Linked DNA regions of Schizosaccharomyces pombe. Changing the gene in region 2 together with the main gene of any one other region gives a genetic interaction. Each region holds a gene or a part of one and is shown on either strand. Other genes may lie near its edges.

Region 1 (7,501 bases), 2.8 Mb from region 2:
AAAAATAGTTCATCCTCATTATTAATTCTTTTTTGAACTAATCCTTCGTATGTTTGTTGAATTGTCTTGGTGACACTCTCACAGTATAGAGGGCGAGTTTGATACATGGCATTTATTGTTGCTACTGAGCTCCAAAAGACCAATCCTGGTCGTTTCGATAACCAATTCTTGCAAAATTGATAAGCAAAAAAACGAGTACCAAACATGTTGTTTAGTTTAAATACACACACACAGATATTAGCCGGTTGGTATTGGATCACATGTTTTTCCAAGAGATCCTAGATTTTAAGGAGGTGCGCAAAAACAACTAACAATGTTGAAACATACGGTTATTATATAGTGAAAAAATTAATTAATTAATTAATCGTCTAATTTCTAAAGAGTAGACTGTTATTTTCTAGTATAAGTCTTTGAGTTTAATTTTAAGTATTCCTATCCATTCGTAATAAGAAAAAATGTCAGTCTATATATCCCATTGTCCGCCGTATCCCAAAATAAATAAAACGACTATTTTAAACCAATAGCTCTCATAAAAGTCTCTTTGAACTCATCATAGTCAACAATGTCAAGGCCATTAACTGGCGTCAATTCATTTTTAAGCTCGTGAATCAATACGAACCTTCTATATTTATCATAATTTTTTTTCTGGTACAATTGTAGAGTGCTGGCTAAAGATACATCAGCGCTATCATCGATCACAATATCCCAATCCTGATACAAAGTCACGTTCTTCAGCGCTGGGTTGGTCAGGTAGCGCTGGAGTGTATTCAATAAGTTTTGAATTTCCAAGAGACTTTTGTCTGGATTGTTTGTTACAAAATAGCTCTTGACCATATCCACAATTGATGGGGGTAGAATTAAAATCCATGAATCTTTTTTAATCTCAAGAAATGGACTAATGAGTTCCAAAAGCCGTGGTGTTTTTATAAGTGCTGAGAGTGTAACAGATACCACCCCACCCTTAGGAAACATCGGTCTTAAGTACTGTGAATATGTCAACTTATCAAGGGGTTCATTGTTTTTCTTAAAGTCCGTACCCACGTGTGAATCATTAGGACTTTTGAGAGGGAGTGACAAACCAAATAAGAAAAATTTACAACTTTTCCTTTTCGCCAGTGTTAAAAATTGCAGTTGATCAAAATCATCCTCTAGTGAGACATTCAGGAAAACAAAAACATTCTGTGATAAAAACAAAGATTCCGGAATCTCGAGTCCTCGAAATGTCGGAATAGCAGCTTCTCTAAAAGTATCCTCCAATTCTTCTGCCTCCGGAGAAGGCTGTTTAGAGACAATTAAAATTTGTGTAGCTTGAAAAGCGCCTATTTTATGTAAATCGATGTGGCCTAATTGTAGTAAATAAGACAAGTAAGATTGGGATTTATGATATGGCTTTTTAGGCCTTAGATTTTTTGCCGACCATTCGACTAGGATTGATTCTAAAGGTTCAAAAATCACCATCCAAAAAGGGCTATTGCTTTGGCCTTGACAATCGTATAAATTCATTAAAGCATTATTATCCTCTGTAAATAATAATAATGTATAGTTACTACCCAGAACGATGCCAGCACCGTTGCCGCGGTTTAGTATATTTTTAAAGTGAGTCATATCAACATCGCTTCGAATACAAAGACTTCCGGAAAGAACTTTAGTCAAGCAAGTACCAAATACCTCGAGATATTGTGAAGTAACAAAACGTAAAACATCTACTTGCTTGCAACTGACTAAACTTCGTAACAACTGTTGATGTTCAGTTTCCGCCTTAAGCTTGGATATATCAAATGACAATTCTCCAGCATAGTAGAGAGATTTTCCGACTCGCAAAACGAATCTAAAATAATCAGACAATGTGCTTGCTGAAGAAAGATCTTCGGATTCGCTTATCGAATGGTGAAGAGAGTTATCCGAATTTAAAGTAATATTACCAGCCGGAACTACTTTGCTAGCTCCATCATTTTCAAAAGTTTGATCGCTTTTAGAAACACTGTTCCAGTCGTTATTAACAGTAGTCCAACTACTTCCGATAACACTTTTCTTAAGCTGCTTAGCATCTTCATTCGTCACGTTTACGTTGAAATCGAAATTTTCGTCCAGATCGACATTGCTAGCAAATTTTTCCGACTCAGAAAGGGTATCTGTTGTTGTTTGTGTAAAAGAAACGGACCTTGCATTTGCTTTCTTTGAAGGGGTTGTTTTTAAAATAGACTTTGAGACTTTACATTCTTCCATATCAGTTGATATCTTCCCTTTTACTAAAGTTACATGCCAACTTGGATGCCCTTTATCATACGCAAGTTTGGCTTGTTCGATAGAATCGAATTGAATGTAGGCCATATTACAAACTTTGTCTTTCTTTGGTGATTTGAGAAAAAAGACCTCAATATTTCCTTTGATAAAAGCAAAGTACGATAAAATATCTTGCTTCGTTAAAGAACCAGAATTATCACTAACTAATATCGTATGCGTTTCTAATTTCGGTGCTTCCTTTTTTATCTTCAAAGAGGAAGGAAGAGGAGTCGAATTGCTAAAAAATAATGAATTGGCAACATCATTATCGGAAGTTATTACTGGCGACAGACTTAAAGGGCTTGAATGCCTAAAGGTTGACAAGGGGGTGTTAGATTGTGGTGAATTCGCATTTTCAACAAAAGCGCCAGTATTTTCAAGATTGTTCGAATTTTGAATTCCGGGAACTGAGTTGTCAGAGTCACTGGGCATCAACATTGTGCTTTTAATTTCGCCATTTTTCAAAGGTATTGCATCGCTGGAGAGGCTTTTGGACAATAAAATACTGTCGGTAACTGTAGGCCACTCTGATAAGTAGAAAGGATTAACATCAGGGCTAGTTTCACCAAACGATGTGGATAGCGTGCTAGTTTTATCGGTCAAATTCCTCTCCTTCAATTCCCCTTGCATACTTTTTCTCTCAAACGCATCCTCATCCATTGTCTGATCGTCCTCTTCCTCTTCATCATTTGCGATGGTTACAATCCTTCGGGCAGGCTTCTTACGCATCTTTTTGAATTTTTCTTTGACTTTTTGAGATAATTGGGTAAGCTCGGATTTGCGCTTTTGTCTTTGTTGCCTCAATATCTCCTTTTCTCTCTTCATTTTCTTTGCCTCATTATCTTCCGCATCGAAAGGTTCAAGCAAGCCTTTAGCAATTAACTTTTTCCGTTTTTTCCATTTTTTAAGCACTTTTTCCGCACCGAATAAATTTTGTTCAGGTTCCCAAGTATTATCATACCAATCATAGCCAGCCCATTTTATATAATATTCGTTTATGCCATTTTTATTTACGCGGTCAGCAAGGATATCTTCCACCTCATAAACATCCGCGTCTGTCTCACCTTCATTCGAGTCAATATCAGGAAGTGGTTTAACAGATACCATTTCAAGGTAGCGGGTTTTTTGCTCACCTACGTGTCGCTAAGAGAGATTGAAGTATTACAACAAAAAAATATATAAAAGGATAAAGATATGAATTTAAAAAAAAAACGGAATTAAGCAAGATTGAATAGATTCCTTGACAAAACTATTAGCCAAAGTTCTTCCCTTTCAACTACTTTTATAGTTGCATGAAGGGCAGAGTATAACCTCTAAAATGGCTCAAATATTTCCCTTTTGCTTGTGATTTTTTTACCAATGGAACACAAGAATAACAACAGATAATTCCAGTAATGAAGCTTTTAGATGTTAGAATTTCGAAGTCTCGCTGCAATAAGCAAGATGGCTTATGCACTCGAATTTTGGAATCAAACAAAATCCGCGTGATTTTACCGTCGTGTCACCAACGCAAACCGTTAAATATACAAAAAAATAAGTTTTCGATTGGGTTTGGAGTTTTATTGCATTAATCAAGTGTGTGAGGTTGAGGTTGCAGATTTGAAGACACCTATGGAGACATATGTACTTTGAGAAAATACTCACTAACCACTAGTGTTACTAGTTGCATACATGAGGTACTAGTAGTCAAAAAACTTTGTTGGTAAATTGATAAATGTTTAAAATTTTCTCATTCCTCCTGAACTTCTAATTTTATTTTCTGGGTGGTTGTGTAAGTTAGAAAAACTTTAAACAAATAATGAATTTTGTTTTCAAAAAGCTACAATGAGTAGATTTTGAGCGCTGCAATTTATTAAACGATGCGTTTATACATAATACCTCTAAATGTGTTAACTCTATATAAACGAATTCAACACAACATATCATTCCAAAACTGGTAGTACAATAAGAAAAGTAAATAATTACTACGATAGAAAAAAATGATCGTGCCAAGACTCGAACTTGGGACCGTCTGCGAACTAGCATGTTAAGCAGAAATTATAACCATCTAAACCACACGACCTCTTTTGATAATTGCTTGCATTAATTTTATATAGAGGTTAACCAAGGGATCCATTTACTTATATTATTACGGAACTATGTTATTCGTTTTCCATGAAATGAACTTAATAAGAAAAACTGTTTATGTGCAGGATTTTTTTGTTTCTTGTTAACCCAAGATTTGCCAACGATAATTATTCGATGGATTACTCAAGTAACTTTCTGCATGAAGGATGCCTGCATGCCATGAGCAGCATCCAACATTGTATAACTTTTGCATAAAGAAAAAGATTTCAATTGAGCCGCCAATTTTATTCTTTCAAATTTTTAATTTCGATCATTGTGACCATTATAAAAGTGAGAAAAAGCTGCTGAAAAAACCGGAACTTAAAATATTCTTTCTTTGGCTAGATAACTTTGTAACTTGGAAATCAAAACATTGCTTTCAAAGAATTTCTACATCATTGTTTGATGCAGGACTAAAATGGGTATAGTACTGACTAATCGCACTGTAAAAACCCATACCAACCCGTCCATATCCAGTTTTGCGATTGGGTTCAATCGGTCATTCATATAATTGATAGTACTTGCATTCAATTGAGTACTTGCGCTTCTTTATATCAAAGGCATTTTAAAATGTTTACAAAATAGCGCTTTATAGTGAACAACAGCATAATGATTTTGATGATAGCAATCACTAAACGACACCAGCCTTCTCATGATTACGACATTCTTTGTAACGCAGTATAATTATTTAATGAATCATTGGAATGCGTTATATGCATTTTAACGGCCAGTGGCACTAGTGGACTTTTTTTTGTTACCATGATAAAGGATTATTACTTCCTTAGGTTTTCTGATATCCCTCTGCAACTTACCTACAACAAACTACGACTAAGTAAATTCTTCGACTATCGAAAGCAGGGTTCATTGTAATTTACAGGTATATACCTTGATATTATTTGACCTTAAATATTTGTTAACAAAAATTGTTCGTAGATTTACCGATAGAGAACTTAGCCATGTGTCAAGAGGACGAATACGATTATTTGTTCAAGACTGTGCTGATTGGGGATAGTGGTGTTGGAAAGTCAAACCTACTTATGCGTTTCACTAGGAATGAATTTAATATCGAAAGCAAGAGTACTATTGGTGTTGAATTTGCTACTAGAAATATTGTTCTTGACAACAAAAAAATTAAAGCACAGATCTGGGATACTGCCGGTCAGGAACGTTATCGGGCCATTACCTCAGCTTATTACCGTGGTGCTGTTGGTGCTCTGATTGTTTACGATATCACAAAACAATCTTCATTCGATAATGTGGGCCGCTGGTTAAAGGAGCTTCGTGAGCATGCAGACAGCAACATCGTTATCATGCTTGTTGGTAATAAAACGGATTTACTACATTTAAGAGCTGTATCTACTGAAGAAGCCCAGGCATTTGCTGGTAAGTAATTTTGTTGGTGAGATATGGAGTTGTTCGGACGGGAAGTAGTGAAACCGGCTTTAGCCGCTCTCACTTTATTCCGTTCATCGTTTTTAGCAATTTTGAACTGCTTGAAGCGTAGAAGATCTCTTTTTGTTTTGAAATATTATTCACCTTGTCGATTCCATTCTCTGTTTATTAAGCACATTTGTTTGCCTCTGATTCGTCATAATTTTTTGAACATAATTAACTAATGTTTTTACAGCTGAAAATAACTTATCTTTTATTGAAACCTCCGCCATGGATGCTAGCAATGTTGAAGAAGCTTTCCAAACAGTTTTGACTGGTATGTTTATTCGTACTTGCTTTGATTTCTTCAAGTTTTACTAATCTAGCGTAGAAATTTTCCGAATTGTCTCCAACAGATCACTCGAGGCTGGAGACGACGGTGTTCATCCTACAGCTGGTCAAACGCTTAATATCGCCCCTACCATGAATGATCTTAATAAGAAGAAGTCTTCTTCCCAATGTTGTTAGATGGTTATCACGGATTCGTACCATTATTTTACCTCGTTTCTCTTCATTTAAAAACTCCACCCCTTTATAACATTTAAGGTGCCTTATGATTATGAAATCTTTAGCAGGTTAGTCAACCATTTATTAGGGCTGTATCCTTTAATAAAGGGGTAGATATTTTGCCTAATGCTAATATTGTCTACTATGGATTTACCGTCCTTCTTTATACACGCTTCAGCATAATTTTATCCCCATTCCTATGCAGCATATAAGTGTAACACATTATTACCTCTGTTTATTATATGATATTTGTAGGGTTACTTTAATAGAGAATTTGTCCAGATATTTTCATTATTCATACAGCTCATGTTTAATTTCCATGATATATCCTTTATAAGAGAAAGTAACAGATGATAAGTATGAGATAAGAGCCAAAAAGTTAGAGACAGCTTAAACGGGGAAATCAAATTTTCCAGCCCAAGTTATAACTTCTTTCTTCAGTTTGGCGATTTCAGAGAATTTAGAACCATCACCCACATATGCTTTGAAGTCTCTAAACTTCGATTTTCCTTCCTTCAAAGCAGCTTCATTTATTTTCTTGGTCAAAGATACAACTTCATCAATTAGCTCTACCACTCTCTCAAAATCCTTCTCATCAAAACCGCGAGTAGTGCAAGCTGGAGTTCCCAGACGTAATCCACGTGGAATTAAAGCAGACTTATCTCCGGGCACAGTATTCTTGTTGGCAGAAATATTTACAAGCTCTAAAATACGTTCGACACGGGCACCATCTACACCTTTGTCGGTCAAATCAACAAGAACCAAGTGAGTATCCGTGCCACCTGAAACTAACTTATAGCCACGAGTAATAAATGCATTGGCCATTGCCTTGGCGTTACTTAGAACGTCCTTTTGGTATTGATAGAATTCAGGAGTTTTTGCTTGTCCAAGGGCGACAGCTAACGCAGTAATTGTATGATTATGGGGGCCGCCTTGATGTCCAGGAAAAACTGAGAAATTGATTTTATCCTCTAATTCATATAAAATTGGATTACCACGTTTATCGTGAGAACGAGTACCTTTTCGATAAAATATCATAGCTCCTCTCGGTCCACGTAAAGACTTATGAGTCGTCGTAGTAACAATATCGGCGTATTCAAACGGAGAAGGAATTACACCGGCAGCTACTAAACCGGATATGTGAGCCATATCACAAAGCAAATAGGCATTGCAC
Region 2 (7,264 bases):
TTTGGAGAGCTCTTCCATTTCCTTGCACCATCCAACTTCCATCAACCCAGGAACTTGAGACGGCTCTATATGAGCTGGACCATCTTTGAATACGTCTAAACCAGGATAAACAACGTTCGACCGAGTGATCCTGTTAATTTTGGAAACAACAGCAGCTTTCTGAATAGCCAAAATCAGATTAGCTTCTAAATACTTTATTTTTGGAATCATGGTGCATTGCATAAGTGTGCCACCTTCGTAATCCTTAATATAGCCAACCCATATAGACTTGTCAAGAGTAATTTCCTTAGTAAATCCTTGTTTTTTAAAATACCCGATTGCATAGTTATCTGCATATGTCAAGAAGTGCTGAATTGTAGTAGTTCCACGGACATAATCCTTTAAATGATTCATTAAATGAGAACCATAACCACGAACCTGTTCATTGGAAGCAATCGCACAAAATACAATTTCGGCAAATCCTCGTTGTTCAAATGGACGATAAGTAATACCGCCCACTACATGTAAATTATCTTTGACAATGGTCATTGAAAGATGGTTTCGATCATAAATTAGCCGCGTAATGTATTCTTTTGGCATTTTAGGAAGTTGTTTCATAAATATGTTTTTTAAACCAGTCAACATGATCATACTGTCGGCGGTGTCGTCGTTAGAAACAACACGAAATTGAATAACGCCGCTTTTTTCTTCTAATACAGATGGCTTTTCAGTAACTCGTACACTACTAATATCAAAATCAACATCTAAATCTGTAGCCACGAGCTTTCTCTTTTTAGAATTTGAAACTCCGTTAGGTACGAAATGAGAGGATGAGCTTTCCGTATCCTTGTTTTCCTTTACAGCTAAAGATTCTTGTCCATCGGAATTAGCAATTGCTTCGCGAACATTTGGATTGGATTGTTCGTCCTGTTTTACCGGTTTATCATGTACACTATCGTTTGACGCATTTGGAAAGTTGGAAGATGTACTGTCTACAACACTTGAATCGGGTGGTCGTGTTTGATCATTTAACGAATTCGACATGATTATTCTATGCCACGCATCCAAACAAATAAATCCAAAAAGTGAAGATACAGAAATTGTCAAGAACGATACAAGATGAAACGAGCACGAAAAAACGGTATATAATAACGAAATACAGAAAATTAAAATAAACGATAATTTGTTAAAATATACACCACGAACCCAGTTATTTGTCTCGAAAATTTTGTTTTTGGCACCAACAATGTGAAAAGACGTCGACCAGCCCTTTACCTTTCTAAAACTTAAGGAAACTCGGCAGGGATTCTCTTAGAAAAAGAACCTCTTTTTATAGAAAGAGTTTGAACACAAGTCAACCGAAAATGACCGTATCAAGGAGAATTTTTTAATCTATAAAAAAAATCTCAGATTTGCGCTCCAAAATACAATCAATTTTTTAATACTTCAAATCAACGATTATCCTAATATTTACTAATTAAAGACACAAATACATGATTTGACTTGGGATGCAAGATTAGAAAATTTCTTCTCTACGAATTTTCTGCTTTCATTTTTTGAAGTTATTGGTGTTGCTTCTAAATATAGAGACGCACCGTAGTTCGTTAGCAATACCTCTTTTTGTGATGATATTCTTTTATGTATTTAGCGATAAAGCTAACGAAAATATTTTCTGTGATATTACACTAACTGTGAGGCTTAGTCTACGTACTAATGGAGTGACTCTGCTAAAACGAATATTTTGGATTTAACTCGAATTATTCATTATAATATCCAACTTCTTTTCTTTTTTTTTAAAGAAGATTTTAAGACTCTTAACGTGAGATGTTCCTCTTCTTGCCGATACCGCTGAATGTTCAAGACATATGGAAAGTCAATAGCAAATATAAGCACGTCTTACTGACATGTCCTGTATGGTATGAAATCAATGAATTAGTGTTAAAACAAGTGGATTGAGTACATTGTTTAAATGGCGAAGTGGAAATGGAACAATTGTAGAAACATTTTGTTTTCAGAAATTACGCACTTGTTTTTTATTAAAATTTGTCATTTAAAAATAGTTTCTAGCAGTCTTCTTGTTTTCCTTCTATTCTTTTCATCAGCACTTTTTGCTAATACTTTCTTTTTAGCCAAAATAAAACTGGTATGAGACACATATAAGTGGTGTAGTTGCATGAAGGCAATTGCTCTTTCTTTGGGTTGTTTTATTAATGTTAACGTAAAACTTTGGTTTTTAGTTCGGGTATATCGTTTGGTTAAATCTTTAGCACTCATCGTTTTGCCTGTTCTCCCGGTTTATACGAGTAAGGTAAGGGAATTCAAGAAAGCATATGTTATGTAGTTGACCCTTTCTACTTATCATTGTTTGGAAACCTGACAGACCTTGTTTGTTATTTTCTAAGCCATTCTTCAATCTTCAATGTTACATGCTTTCCAGGGAAAGTTGGGATTATTTTGCTGTCCAACTAATAAGCACTCACTTGCTAACTCAGAGCAGGTACTTCGTTGTTCTCATTGTGGGTGGTATGAACCAGTAGATTCGGCCATGATTGATCAAAGGCGCAGGCGTGAAGATCTTCCTACTCCCGAAAGACCTGAGGCGAGTGCTCAACAGCATGCATTTTTTCCTGGCTCAAGTTCGCAACAAACCGATATTCCTAACGTTCGTCCTCAACCACATATACCGCCTCCAAGAAAAAGTGATGAGGCACCACCCCCTTACAGCTACAAGTAATGTTCTACCTTAATTCTATTTATTGTTCTACCGTTTCTAATGCTTCCCTGATGAAGCTTTCTAAGCATGTTTGGTAATATTTATTGTGCATACTATATGACTGGATATGATAGATAATAATGGCTAATTTTTTTTTTTGATTAATAGAATACAGAAGAGTTTTAATTCATAAATATTATTCATATAATCTAACTCGTAAGGCACAGCCTTTTTAAATGGTTTCCGGCGAGGAAGGAAGCTAATAAACCAAAGGATAAAAACCTATCTAAAGCATCTCATTAGATCTTTTTAATTGTCCCGATATAATAAACTATTATAGTGAGCGCCAAGCCCAAACAAATGCTGGTAATATGCTATACACAACGGTTTTTCGAACTTGACCGTTGAGGGGTTAAACTTTAAAACTGGACCTTCTGTGTTGTAGACATGAACAGGAACCTCAAGAGAGTTTGCTAATGCCTGTATTTCAATATCACTTCCCCATTTGCTATTGTTTCGAATTTCGTTACAATAATCGGATACTGGCAAAACTTCTCCAGATTCTTCGTCTAGCAAAAAGCCTTCAAACTGTTCGCAGTGCTTTAATACATAATCAGCGGATTTATTACGAAGAGCTTGGCTATTTAGTTTAACATTATGATGATAATTTAACTGATGTGAAATGGAAGCAAATAAACAATTTCCATCCGCTGGTATATCGACTGCAACAAGTCCAGCTTCCTCAAGGATTTTTGAAAACTTTTTTTTCTCTTCATTTTTGAGATCAGCCATTTTTTCTGACTCTAGCTCTGCCTGCTCAGACATTTTTTTCATCTCTGCTTTACGTCGTTCCTAATTAACTTTGTTAGTGATAATTCGTCAAAAGTTAAGCACTTACAAGTCGCTCTTTTTGTCTATTCCTAGACTTTTTAGGCTGTTGCGGTGTATTTTCTTTAGTATTCAATGAGGACTGAACTGATGATTTTTCTGCCGTCGTAATTTTCGTATCTTCCATCTGTTGTAAAAGCGTATTGAGGAGATCTTCTTGCTGCGTTTCATTTGTCTCTTCATCGCCTTTATCCAATTTTTGTCGTTCTGTAGCATGTTTTTGTGATAAATCGGCTTCCATTTGTGAGATTTTTTGCTGCAAAGCCCTTTTTTGTTTTTTATTTCCTTCCTTTAGTTGTTTACGAAGGTTTGTAATTTTGCTTTGAAGTTCTTTACATTCTTCCCGTTGCTTACTTAACAATTCCTCCATTTTTTTAGACTTTCGTTTTTGTTGAGTTGGTATGGTAGTTTGAGTGTAATAATATGCTAATGGACATCTCATTCGATGCTTCCAATTTAATTCATTTAGACATTATATTTACATAGTATAATATTCCCTTTCCATGCATAGCCTTTTATTCATTTTGTAAACATTCAATCATCCAATGCAGAGTTTTATAATAAAATATATATTCTTTACTAGGATCCTATTAAACATCATTTAATTTGTAAAACAATTCAATTCTAATAATTTATTAATTATTTATATACAATTAGACTCCTGTTTCCAAATACCAAATTCTTTGATACCCATATAATACACCCCGTCGTTCAACAAATGTATGCCCGCTGATAAACGAAATGAAACTACAAGAAAAACAAATAAAAAGCTTTAAATAAAGTGTGTTTTTGAAACTTCAAAGAATTAGAAAACTTGCTGTTTGGATGTTCGAAGACTTCTGGACGAATCGTAAAATAAAGAATTCCAATTCTTGTTCATATTTAAAGCTAGGCAAACGATTTTTCTTTCCTTTTAAGCCTTTACCTTTTTAGTACCCGAAACCTTCTTAAGTCCACTTTTAGACGATTTTTTTGATTCTTTGTCACGAACCTTTCTTTTTCGTTTTTGAGTATGAGAATCATCTAATTTTAATCTCTTGGATTTTTTTTTCAACTTGTCCTTCTTCTCCTTCTTTTCTTTTTTCTTTTTGGACTTCTCTCGTTTTGAAGACTCTTTGCCAGAAGTTTTTCTGACTTTGACTTTCTTGGACGATACTGGAGAAACAGAGGAATCAAGACTCTTATCAACTAAATCTTCCTCAAAGGTACCACAAAGTCGACCAGCATAACGAAACACAGAAGACAGAGCAGAATATTTGCTGTGATATTTTGCCATTCTCAATTTTGTAGATACACCATTGCTTTGGACTGCAACCTTTTCCAAATGTTAGCACTGTGTAAAAGAGATAGGAAAAATTGTATATTTAAGTTGTTTTTACCTTTCCGTTGTCCGTATTTACTTGAATTGACTGTAGTTGAGCAGAAAAAACATTATCCCACCATTGATCAGCAATATCATGTTTAGCACCAAGCTACCGTGTGTTAAAAATAAATTCATACATAACTTTACTGAAAAAACCCATCTTTTTCTAAGATTTTTTATTCTGACATACCCCATGAGTATTATATTTTCTAGAAGTTAAAATTGGTTTGGTGAGCCCTCCTTCTTTTAAAGCGTTTCCTTCCTCCCAACCAAAGGAATTCAAATATCTTTTGGAACTAAACATCAATGGCTGATGAAGTTTTGCATAAAACTTTTCATGGGTACTTCGTGGTAAAGGGAGTAGTGCCATGGGATGCCATGAATACCTAATATGAAAAAAAATAAAAAAAGTCCTTGAATCGTCTCGGAAAAGGAAAAAAATATGAAATATAAATTTCCTATTTGTATGTATGAATAAATAATTTCTAAACGTTAAATTGGAAAAGGTCGTTTCGTAAGGTCAGAAAGGTGAGGCTCTAATGATGAAATTGGATAGATGAAGCCTAAGAATATCATTTTCTAATTAACAGATTACTTTATTGAACCTGTTTTAATGGAATATTTTCATGCTGTGGGTGATTGGCATACCAATCAACCAAAAGCAGTGCCTTGAGAAAGTCCATGATTTTTAAAGAGAGTCCAAGAGCAAGAATGAGGTTACTTGCGTAATAAAAATTTGCATTTCCACATCCAAGAGTTATCCAAGAATGGTAAAATGCAGATCCCAGTACAAGCGCAAACACAATAGCATTATTTGTAAGCAAGCTATATCGCATTCGGTCTTGGACTTTATTAAAAATTGGGAGGAGAGATAAAAATATTGAAAGATCACAAATACTTGGGTAAGCTTTGAATAAAGAATGCAGGCCAATAAGAGCAATAGTAATAGGCAAGGGCAGATAATAAAGACGGATCGAAACAGGGAGAACAAACATCAATGGTAAAATGGCAAATACAAAAAGGAAGAATGTGCGAAATTCATTGAACATTTCTGTAAAAAAATACCACCAGAGACCCAAATTCGGAGTTAGATCATGAGAGTCCAAGTATACCCTAAATGGAATTTTCAAAAAAGATAACGAGTTCAGAAAGAAGCCTGAAGTTATTATCAGACCTGCAAGATAAAAAAGAAAAACAACGAATATCTGACGAAATTTAATGGATGAATTGCATTTTCTTAAAATAAGATAGGAGGGGAAAAATAACAGTAAAGCGTTAGGATTAATGAATACAGTCAATGCCATACAGCATGCATAAATTGCATAGGATCCGCAAGAGGCGAAATAAATGGTCATTAGAGTGGTGAAATTAAGTATCATGTCTGCGGAGCAAGCAATTCCTGGAAGAAATGTTAATGGGTTAAGCAGATAACTAAAGTAATATTTTGTTAGTAAATTTTGAGTTAAGGATACTTGTTTGCGACACAAATATATCACAGAAGTACACATTTTCAATATCGACTACGAAATCTGTGTAATCAACGCAGTTCAATCTTTGAACAGTCATCGTTAACAATTTTGTAAACCAACGATACAATGCTTTTCATTTTTTTGAAGAATGTCTCACTTTTTTTGTCGCAAGCCATATGCGTAACTTACATGACGGAAATCCATAATGGTGAACAAGTAGATAGTACTTGATTTGGGTCTAAAACACGAGCTTGTTTTGCAATTAAATACACAAAGAGACCTCCCATAGTAGAAATGCTAGTATAAACAAATCTGGTGACAGATATTCCTCCAAGCAACTCACAACAATAATTTAAGATCAGTAGAAGTGGAGACTGATAGAAAACACCACCAGAATAGGGGTCTAGTCCGTTTTCATACAAGTAAAGTCCTTCACGAACACGTAAAAATCCGGATACAGGCGTCGATACTTCGATTCGCCTGTAAAGGAATTCAGCAATCCAAGTGTTTGCTAAATACCATTGAAGAAAAAAAGAAATTGATAATAAACCTAATAGTTTTAGCTTCTCATTTGGTATCATTGCAAAATCTTCACTGTTCAAAAGATGGGTTATATTTGTGTTTTCAATTCACCAATCTTCGTTTAAATTACAGTCGTTGGGTATCCCAAATGATCCGTTTGAAAAACTTTTAAGGCAGCCACCAAAGTAAGATTTTTAATTTTTTATTTCTTTATTTTTTCTTTAAAACGAGAAGAGTGTTTTAGGTTAATATTTACACGTTCATACCACTACCACAGGTTGAGTAACATAAGTTACCTGGTATAGAAATTATGGTATTGAAGCACTCGGT
Region 3 (7,501 bases), 1.8 Mb from region 2:
TTGTTAATTTTCTATTCTTTACCAAGTTTAATTATACTAAATCGATCAATTTTTTTAATTGACATTAAAAGAATTCTCATAAGTACGTTTTTTACTGTTTTCGTGATGTTGTTAGAGTATCGTAGCTATATCAGCGATTTCAAACAGAGATGGATAATCTGAATTAGGATGTCCCGAACATTTTCTATCTGACATAATTTGTATGCTCTTACCATATATAAATTTTAGTAGTACATAAAACATAAACTTGTCAACGACGGCTTAATGTGTAGTGCTTTGAATCCGATGCTCACCGTTTCACCGTAGCACTCGCGTATCGCCAGTTACTTTACCTACTGCCAACACACCAACAAAGCTGTAAGATGTCAAAGCTTGAAGCCCTTCAAGTTTTCCTGCTTGAAAAGCTAAACGAAAAAAATGAAATTCCAAACACCAGTCATTTGGAATTCGATGGGAAGAAGTTAGGTCCTCAAGAAGCTCAATCGGCGATTTTGTCATTAGCTGCTAAAAACATGATTGAATTTTCAAGACATGAAATTGAAATTTACAATTTGACTGCAGAGGGTGAAAACATTTGCGCAAATGGTTCTCATGAAGCCAAAGTTTATAATGAAATTTGCGCTTCTATGAGCGGTTTAAATATTGGGGAACTCAAGGTAAAGTCATTGGAATCGTAGTTGTGAACGACGAAGCATTTAAATATAATTAAGTCTAAACGCCCGGTAAATATTGTTAGTTTTTTTTTTCTAGCATTATGTTGCATTTTCGATTTTTCGCGTTTTGATGCAACACCTTTTCATATCGCTACGTCTGCCTTTTAGTTTTTTTGTACTTTTTCTAACTGATTTAGAAAAAATTGGGGAATTCGGCTGGTATTGGTCAAGGAAGAGCCTTTAAACTCGGTTGGATTAAGAAAGATGGAGACAAGCTTGTTAAAAATGTAAGGCAAAGTTATAGTAGTGCAAATTGATTTAACGTTATGCAATATTTTATTTACTAACTGACCAGACTGATTCCATTACAGATGAGACCCCTAAGGTCCTTAGTGAAATTAAGGAACATGGAACTATCTCTGACAGTAAGACGTTAACTGATTTGAAGAAGAGAAAGCTTGTTGAACGTAACAAAATTATGTACTTCTCTTTGAGGAAAGGTCCAAATTTCTCGCTTCAAATTGAAAAACTGAACACCGATTTAACTGCTGAGATGATCACCTCTCGATCATGGGAAAGTGCCAAGTTTAAATCTTACAACTTTGCAGCTGAAGGTATACCTCCAGCTGGTGGATGTCTTCATCCTTTGATGAAAGTACGTGAAGAATTCCGTAAATTTTTCTTCGAATTGGGTTTTGAAGAAATGCCAACCAACAATTTTGTTGAAAGTGGATTTTGGAACTTTGATGCTTTATTTGTCCCCCAACAACATTCAGCAAGGGATGCTCAAGATACTTTCTTTTTGAAAGTTCCTGCTTCTACTGATAAATTGCCAGATCCCGAATATGTTGCTCGAGTAAAGGCCACTCACGAAAACGGTGGTGAGACTAAGGGCATTGGATACCGTGCTCCCTTTTCCTTGGAGGAAACTCGTAAACTAGTTCTTCGTACTCATACTACTGCTGTCTCGGCGAATATGTTGTACAAACTTGCCCAAAATGGCTTTCACCCTGCTAAATACTTCTCAATTGATCGGGTCTTCCGCAATGAAACCGTTGACGCAACTCATCTTGCCGAATTTCATCAAGTCGAAGGCGTAATCTGCGATAGAAATATTACCCTCGGTGATTTGATCGGTTTCCTTGAGGTGTTCTTTGGAAAAATGAACGTTAAAAATTTGCGCTTCAAACCTGCTTATAATCCTTATACTGAACCTTCATTGGAAGTCTTTTCCTACCACGAAAAGCTTGGTAAGTGGGTTGAAGTCGGAAACAGCGGCATGTTCCGTCCGGAGATGTTAGAGCCTATGGGATTACCTAAAGATGTTCGTTGTTTAGGTTTTGGTCTTTCTTTAGAGCGCCCCACTATGATCAAATATGGTGTGGCCGACATTAGACAATTGATTGGTCCTAAGGTTAACTTGGACCTAATTGAGGCTAGCCCTGCAGTTCGTTTAGACAAAGAGGAATAAATTTAGTGTTTTTTTTTGCATAATCGTTTATAAAAATAATACATAATCACTATGGTAAACGTATTTTCGTATAGGGTCAATTATTAATATTTACAATGTCTATAAACATTAACTAAAATTATTTGATGTTTGTACGGATATCAAATAAAAAGTCGAAAATTCATTAATATCAGCCTCGAACGCGAACATCCACAGCTTTGTCTAAGTATTCATCATTCAACCGTTCGTCTTCTTCTTCCAAATGCCCAGTTAAGTCTGGTGGAATTTGCTGCATCTGAACGCTTGGCGCTCCTCCTAAGTAACGTAATTGCTCCAAGGCCCGTATTCGAAGATCTTCAAGAGCTTTCGGTGTATTTTTATTTTCTATCTTCGTGGTTAATCGCGGATGGAGGGTGTAATCTGGTGCGAAAAATTCGTAATACAAAGTTTCACGAGGTAATTCTGAAGGTATTTGTTCGTTTACACATATGGAAGTTTCATAACACCACGCTCTAGCAACATTTCTAAGAGTATAACCACCACCTCCAACTACAAGCATGGGTATATTGAATGAACGGGTAAATCTAACACATTCCCCATGTGCATGGATGCTCAGATTGAACACGCCGAGCCGATCATAACCAAGCGAATCAGCACCACACTGAAGGACAATTGCAGAAGGTTGAAAAGTATTGATAGTTGGTTCAATTATGGATTTGAAAAGACTAGTGTACTGTTCATCACCAATACCATCTTCCAAAGGAACGTTTAAAGCAAAATATTTCCCTCCTTTCACGCCATTTTCATCAAAATTACCAGTTGCAGGAAAAAAATCACCATTATACTTGTGAAAAGAAACCGTCAACACGCGGTCAGATTCATAGAATGCTTGCTGCACACCATCTCCATGATGAATATCGATATCGATATACAAAACGCGAGGAAAAAACCGTAGCATGTTCAAAATTGCTAGAACAATATCATTAACATAGCAGAATCCACTAGCCTCACCACGCTTTGCATGATGGAGACCACCGCTCCAATTGATAGCAATGTCTGTTTGACCTTGCACTAACTTCCGAGAAGCATCCAAACTAGCGCCTGCCGACCTTTGAGAAAATTCATAAGTGCCGTCAAAGACCGGACAGTCATCACCAATATTGAATTGTTGGAACTTATCAGCAAATTGTTCAGCATTATCAGGAGTAACGCGCTTAAGGAAATCCAAATAATCCTCCCTATGAAATTCTGACATTTCACCAAAAGTTGCCATCCGGGGGCTGAATACACTCATTTTGTTATGCAACCCATAACCCATCACTAAATGATTTGTAATGGTAATTCGATGGGGCTTCATTGGATGTTTGTCACCATAGTGGTAGTTTCCCACCTGTTCATCTAAGTGATATGTGACACGCTTTTTTTGAGGTCGAAAGCTAAAAAAAGACCCCTTTTCAACTTGTTCATAAGGTGTGGATGTCTCAGGAGTATCCATGATATACAGACTATTATACTAAAAAAAACCGCGAGACAAATTAAATGAAAATATCTTTTCTAAAGAAAGAACAAGAAAAGAATAAATAAAATTAAGAAACAAATTAATAACTGTTTCAGAAGAAACAAGAGAAATGAAAGTTATTGACCAATGCCAAATTAATATAAATCGAAAAACAACCCAGATTTTTTTATAGAAAAGAATTCAATCCAAATAATAAACAGCAACACGAACTGTAAATACTTTATTTTTACGTCGAGCGCAGAATACGTAGCAAAAGGTCGCTAAACCCGATACCTTATTAGATAAAATGTACAACTTCAACAAAGCGTTAATTCAAACTCTTTGAAGCCCATAAACACAAGAACAAATAGGATTTACAATTTTTTGAAGAATTGCTAGTGCTGGTTCATTCTTATAACTTAAAAATGTATATCTCAGTGAACACAGAAGGAAGCTACCAACTTAGGTGTAGTTTAGTATGTTATGCTTCCATATATGAACTAACACATTAATAACGTATCGTTATTACTTAAACAGATGGTAACCTTTAGCATGTGAATTCATAGACAATTTGGCAACTTAGATATCATACATACGTTGAAAAGATTTATCTTCAAAGTGATTTGGTTTGCGTGAATTCTTATGTTTTTATTTCGCCCTCTTTGCCTTCCAGTACTGTGTTTACATTATATGGAGTGGCGGAACTCAACACCAAATGTGGGCTACTATAAACAACCGGAAAAATTTTCAGCAGCTTAAGAGAGTGTAAAAATAATCTTTAAACGACACAAAAACGAGCCATAGGTTCATATATATTATTTCAATTAGTGTCTTTGTCCTTCTCGTTTGTACATTTATTGTCACATTCCTCTACTTTAAAAGATAAAGTCATAGTATCTTTTATTCATTAGTTATTGAAGTATCGAAAATATTAGTGGAATATCAACTTTCCCTATCTCTTTAAAAGACTCAAATCTCCCTTTCTTTTGGAATTTGAAATCATAATAATAATTTTTGCATAAAGCGGAAATTAGAACGTATCTATAATTTTCAATTTGAGAATAATGGCAGATGATACAGCTTACATACTAAGTGAGTATTTGCAAACGTTGGATAATGTTCCCAACGAAACAAAACACATCTTTGACGAAATTAGTGTGAAGGAAGTTGCTGTACATGACATCTGGAAGAGAATTCAAGCAGCTGATTCTCAGATTCAGTCATACATTAAATCACATGGTTCCTTGACCCCACATCCAAAAGAAGATGCTTTGTATTCGACGATTCGCGAGGAGTATCAAAAGGCAATTAATATACAGAACGAGAAAGTCCAGTTGGCGGATCGTGCCAGATTGGGACTTACACGGCACATAAAGCGATTGGATGATAGACTTGCAAAGGCCGGTCATGGATTTACAGCTGCGGAATTGTTAAATGCTCCTGACTACTATGCTTCTTCACCGTATGGTGGATACAGTCCAAGTGGTGCCTCAAGTGCTCGTCAAACACCGGCCCCTTCTCGGTCGGGAGCCTCAACAGCTGGTCGCCGTCGTACTTCAGCAACTACCAGGGGTGCAATTCAAAATGGAGTCTATCACTCTCCTTATACGGCTTCGTTGGCAGATTCTGGTTCAACTCGCGGTCAGAAGGTTTCGAATGCCACTGCAACCACCCAGTTAGAAACTAAGGCAGATTCCACAACGCCGAATGAAATGGTCTCAGAAGAAGATATGGAAGAGGATAATGAAAAGTATTGTTTTTGCCAGCAAGGATCATATGGGCAAATGGTCGCTTGTGACAATGCTAATTGTGAGCGTGAATGGTTCCATATGGAGTGTGTTGGTCTTAAAGCTCCTCCTGAAGGTACATGGTATTGCGAAGCTTGTAGGGATCAGAAGCTTGTTGATGCTAAGTAATTTTTCCCCAATCTAAAGTCTGTTGGTCTTCCCATTATTGAATGCAAGCATTGTTGTTTTTTTTTGGGCTTTAATATCCGCTAATTTTTCACCTGTTCCGAACTTACTATATTTGATTATACGTTGTTCAAGCTGTGTATATGTGATTTGCAAAATGGTTAATTTATTAATCATATCTTCACGATTACGAATCCTTTTTATCTTATTCTTGTCCTTGTTTGTTTTTCACTCACATAATAAGTACCAGATTACTTGTACATTAAGAAATTCAGTTCTTTAATTTCCCCAATCCTCCCCAAAGCAGATATTACACGCCGTAGCTAACCACAGTAATAAGTCTTTTGTAACTTTATTATTTGTAATTGCATTTGTTGTCCATTATTTCTACTATATTGGAACTGAACTTATTATTGTACATACAAAGGAACAAGATGCAGCGTCTAGCGTTTTCATATTATCTCGTAACATATAAAAGAACTCTTACGCATTCGGAAAAAAGAAGAGGAAATTTTTTAACCATAGATATCACTAGATAAATTTGATAAAGTGTATAGTACAAAATAAAAAGAACCCCAGATTATAATGGAACACTAAAGTGCCAAAAATTCACAATGAAAAAGCGTATATTAGCTAGTGTCTAATCCATTTACTCAGAACCGCTTTGGTCATCCTCTTCATCACCAGAGATTTCAGCATTTTCCTTTTCAAATTTTTTCATCAAATCGGCAAGCTCCAATTCGTCAGTTTCACTAACCGCCTTGGGTTTCATTTTAACAGTACAGGTACCATTGGATGCTGTAATGGATTTTTCGATTGCACCAATTGCCTCTTCTAGCTTTTTGAGACCCAATGACTTATCTAATGCGTTTGTCAAAAGGACGTAAAGTGGAGGAGCAACAAGTTTAACTTTGATAGGAACCTCCTCGGTATGAACATCTTCAGCAGCCTTCAAAGCGGCCTTGATAGCGTTAATACCTTCGTAGCCAAAGCAAGTGACTTCAACGTCAGCACGAATTTTAATGGGCTGAGGCGTCAGACGACGAGAGATTTGAGCCAACAAATCATTAATAACACCCGATTTGGGAGGTTCTAAACCCTCAAAGACATGATCTGGGTTACTAATAGCAAGCTTAAAGGCGTCATAAGCATGTCCATATTTGCGGTATAATGGCCATCCAATTGTGGTATACATGGTCTCCAAAGGAACATTATGCTTCTCAGCAATATGGCGCATAATGGAATGAACAGCCTTAGATTTGTTGAAGCGTTCTTCGCACTTTACAACATCCTCAGGGCTAACACGGCGCTTTGAAAGATCGATGTATCCTTAATCCTGGTTAGTACATTCCTAACAACTTATAAACCTTTTTTCCCCTTTTGTTTTTCTTTTTTTTAAAAAAAAAAAAAAAAAAAACTACTAATAAATTCTTACCTTTTTCCTTGTCGACACGTAAGACCACGACGACTTCATTACGACCAACGCGAATATGCTTTTGTACTGAACGAATACGACGTCTGGAAAGCTCAGAGAGCAAAACCATTCCTTCAATATTATCGTATTCCAACAATTTTACATAAGCGCCCATCTCCTGGATTTGACGAACTATTGGAAATATTAGCCATTACCGTTTCTTTAGACAGACAACATGTGCATTTTTTACATACCGTTGACAACAACGAGTTCATCCACTTCCGGGAAGCGATTCTCGTACATTCTGCAGCTTGTCGTCGACATTTTTGCAAAGTGTTGAGTGTTTGGTTCTGAGTAAAAATTTGTGTGGACTACCCACTTCTAAACTCTAGGGGCCAATTTTGCTTCTTTTCAGAACCCAGACATTGGTCATTTTAACTTAACTGTTTATCAATAATTATTCTTTATATTTAAAAAGTTTCCTTAAAGAAGATTTATTAGTATCTAAAAGCACATAACGATCGGTGATAACTGGCTTACCAGCCGAACGCTGAATAAACTAGCAGTAAAGTA

The links.
Region 1: mutations in tma23 (region 2) and chp1 together harm fitness more than expected from each alone (negative genetic interaction), as found in Schizosaccharomyces pombe (2 studies listed by BioGRID).
Region 3: mutations in tma23 (region 2) and hos2 together harm fitness more than expected from each alone (negative genetic interaction), as found in Schizosaccharomyces pombe (2 studies listed by BioGRID).

The regions. Positions count from the first base shown.
Region 1 is NC_003424.3:2,210,470-2,217,970, forward strand, and holds chp1 (heterochromatin (HP1) family chromodomain protein Chp1), read right to left. Parts: upstream 3,877-7,501; 5' UTR 3,391-3,876; coding exon 508-3,390; 3' UTR 341-507; downstream 1-340. Other genes in the region: aim18 (chalcone related protein), read right to left, coding at 1-206; Rab11 family GTPase Ypt3, read left to right, coding at 5,346-5,772, 6,017-6,097, 6,152-6,288; serine hydroxymethyltransferase Shm2, read right to left, coding at 6,718-7,501. UniProt on the Schizosaccharomyces pombe protein: Component of the kinetochore which plays a role in stabilizing microtubules and so allowing accurate chromosome segregation. Has a role in the RNA interference (RNAi) pathway which is important for heterochromatin formation and accurate chromosome segregation.
Region 2 is NC_003424.3:4,967,875-4,975,138, reverse strand, and holds tma23 (ribosome biogenesis protein), read right to left. Parts: upstream 5,297-7,264; 5' UTR 5,248-5,296; coding exon 5,134-5,247; exon of another isoform or gene 5,053-5,133; coding exon 4,960-5,052; exon of another isoform or gene 4,896-4,959; coding exon 4,494-4,895; 3' UTR 4,402-4,493; downstream 1-4,401. Other genes in the region: SAGA complex histone acetyltransferase catalytic subunit Gcn5, read right to left, coding at 1-1,023; SPOM_SPAC1952.04C (uncharacterized protein), read left to right, coding at 1,804-1,895, 2,109-2,122, 2,217-2,287, 2,477-2,713; OUT family ubiquitin-specific cysteine protease Otu2, read right to left, coding at 3,002-3,544, 3,591-3,950; gab1 (Pig-U family GPI transamidase subunit), read right to left, coding at 5,540-6,374, 6,602-6,993.
Region 3 is NC_003424.3:3,166,207-3,173,707, reverse strand, and holds hos2 (class 1 histone deacetylase Hos2), read right to left. Parts: upstream 4,038-7,501; 5' UTR 3,599-4,037; coding exon 2,294-3,598; 3' UTR 2,196-2,293; downstream 1-2,195. Other genes in the region: phenylalanine--tRNA (Phe) ligase alpha subunit Frs2, read left to right, coding at 363-656, 851-940, 1,009-2,124; png1 (chromatin modification-related protein), read left to right, coding at 4,666-5,517; tif211 (translation initiation factor eIF2 alpha subunit), read right to left, coding at 6,164-6,843, 6,950-7,120, 7,183-7,252.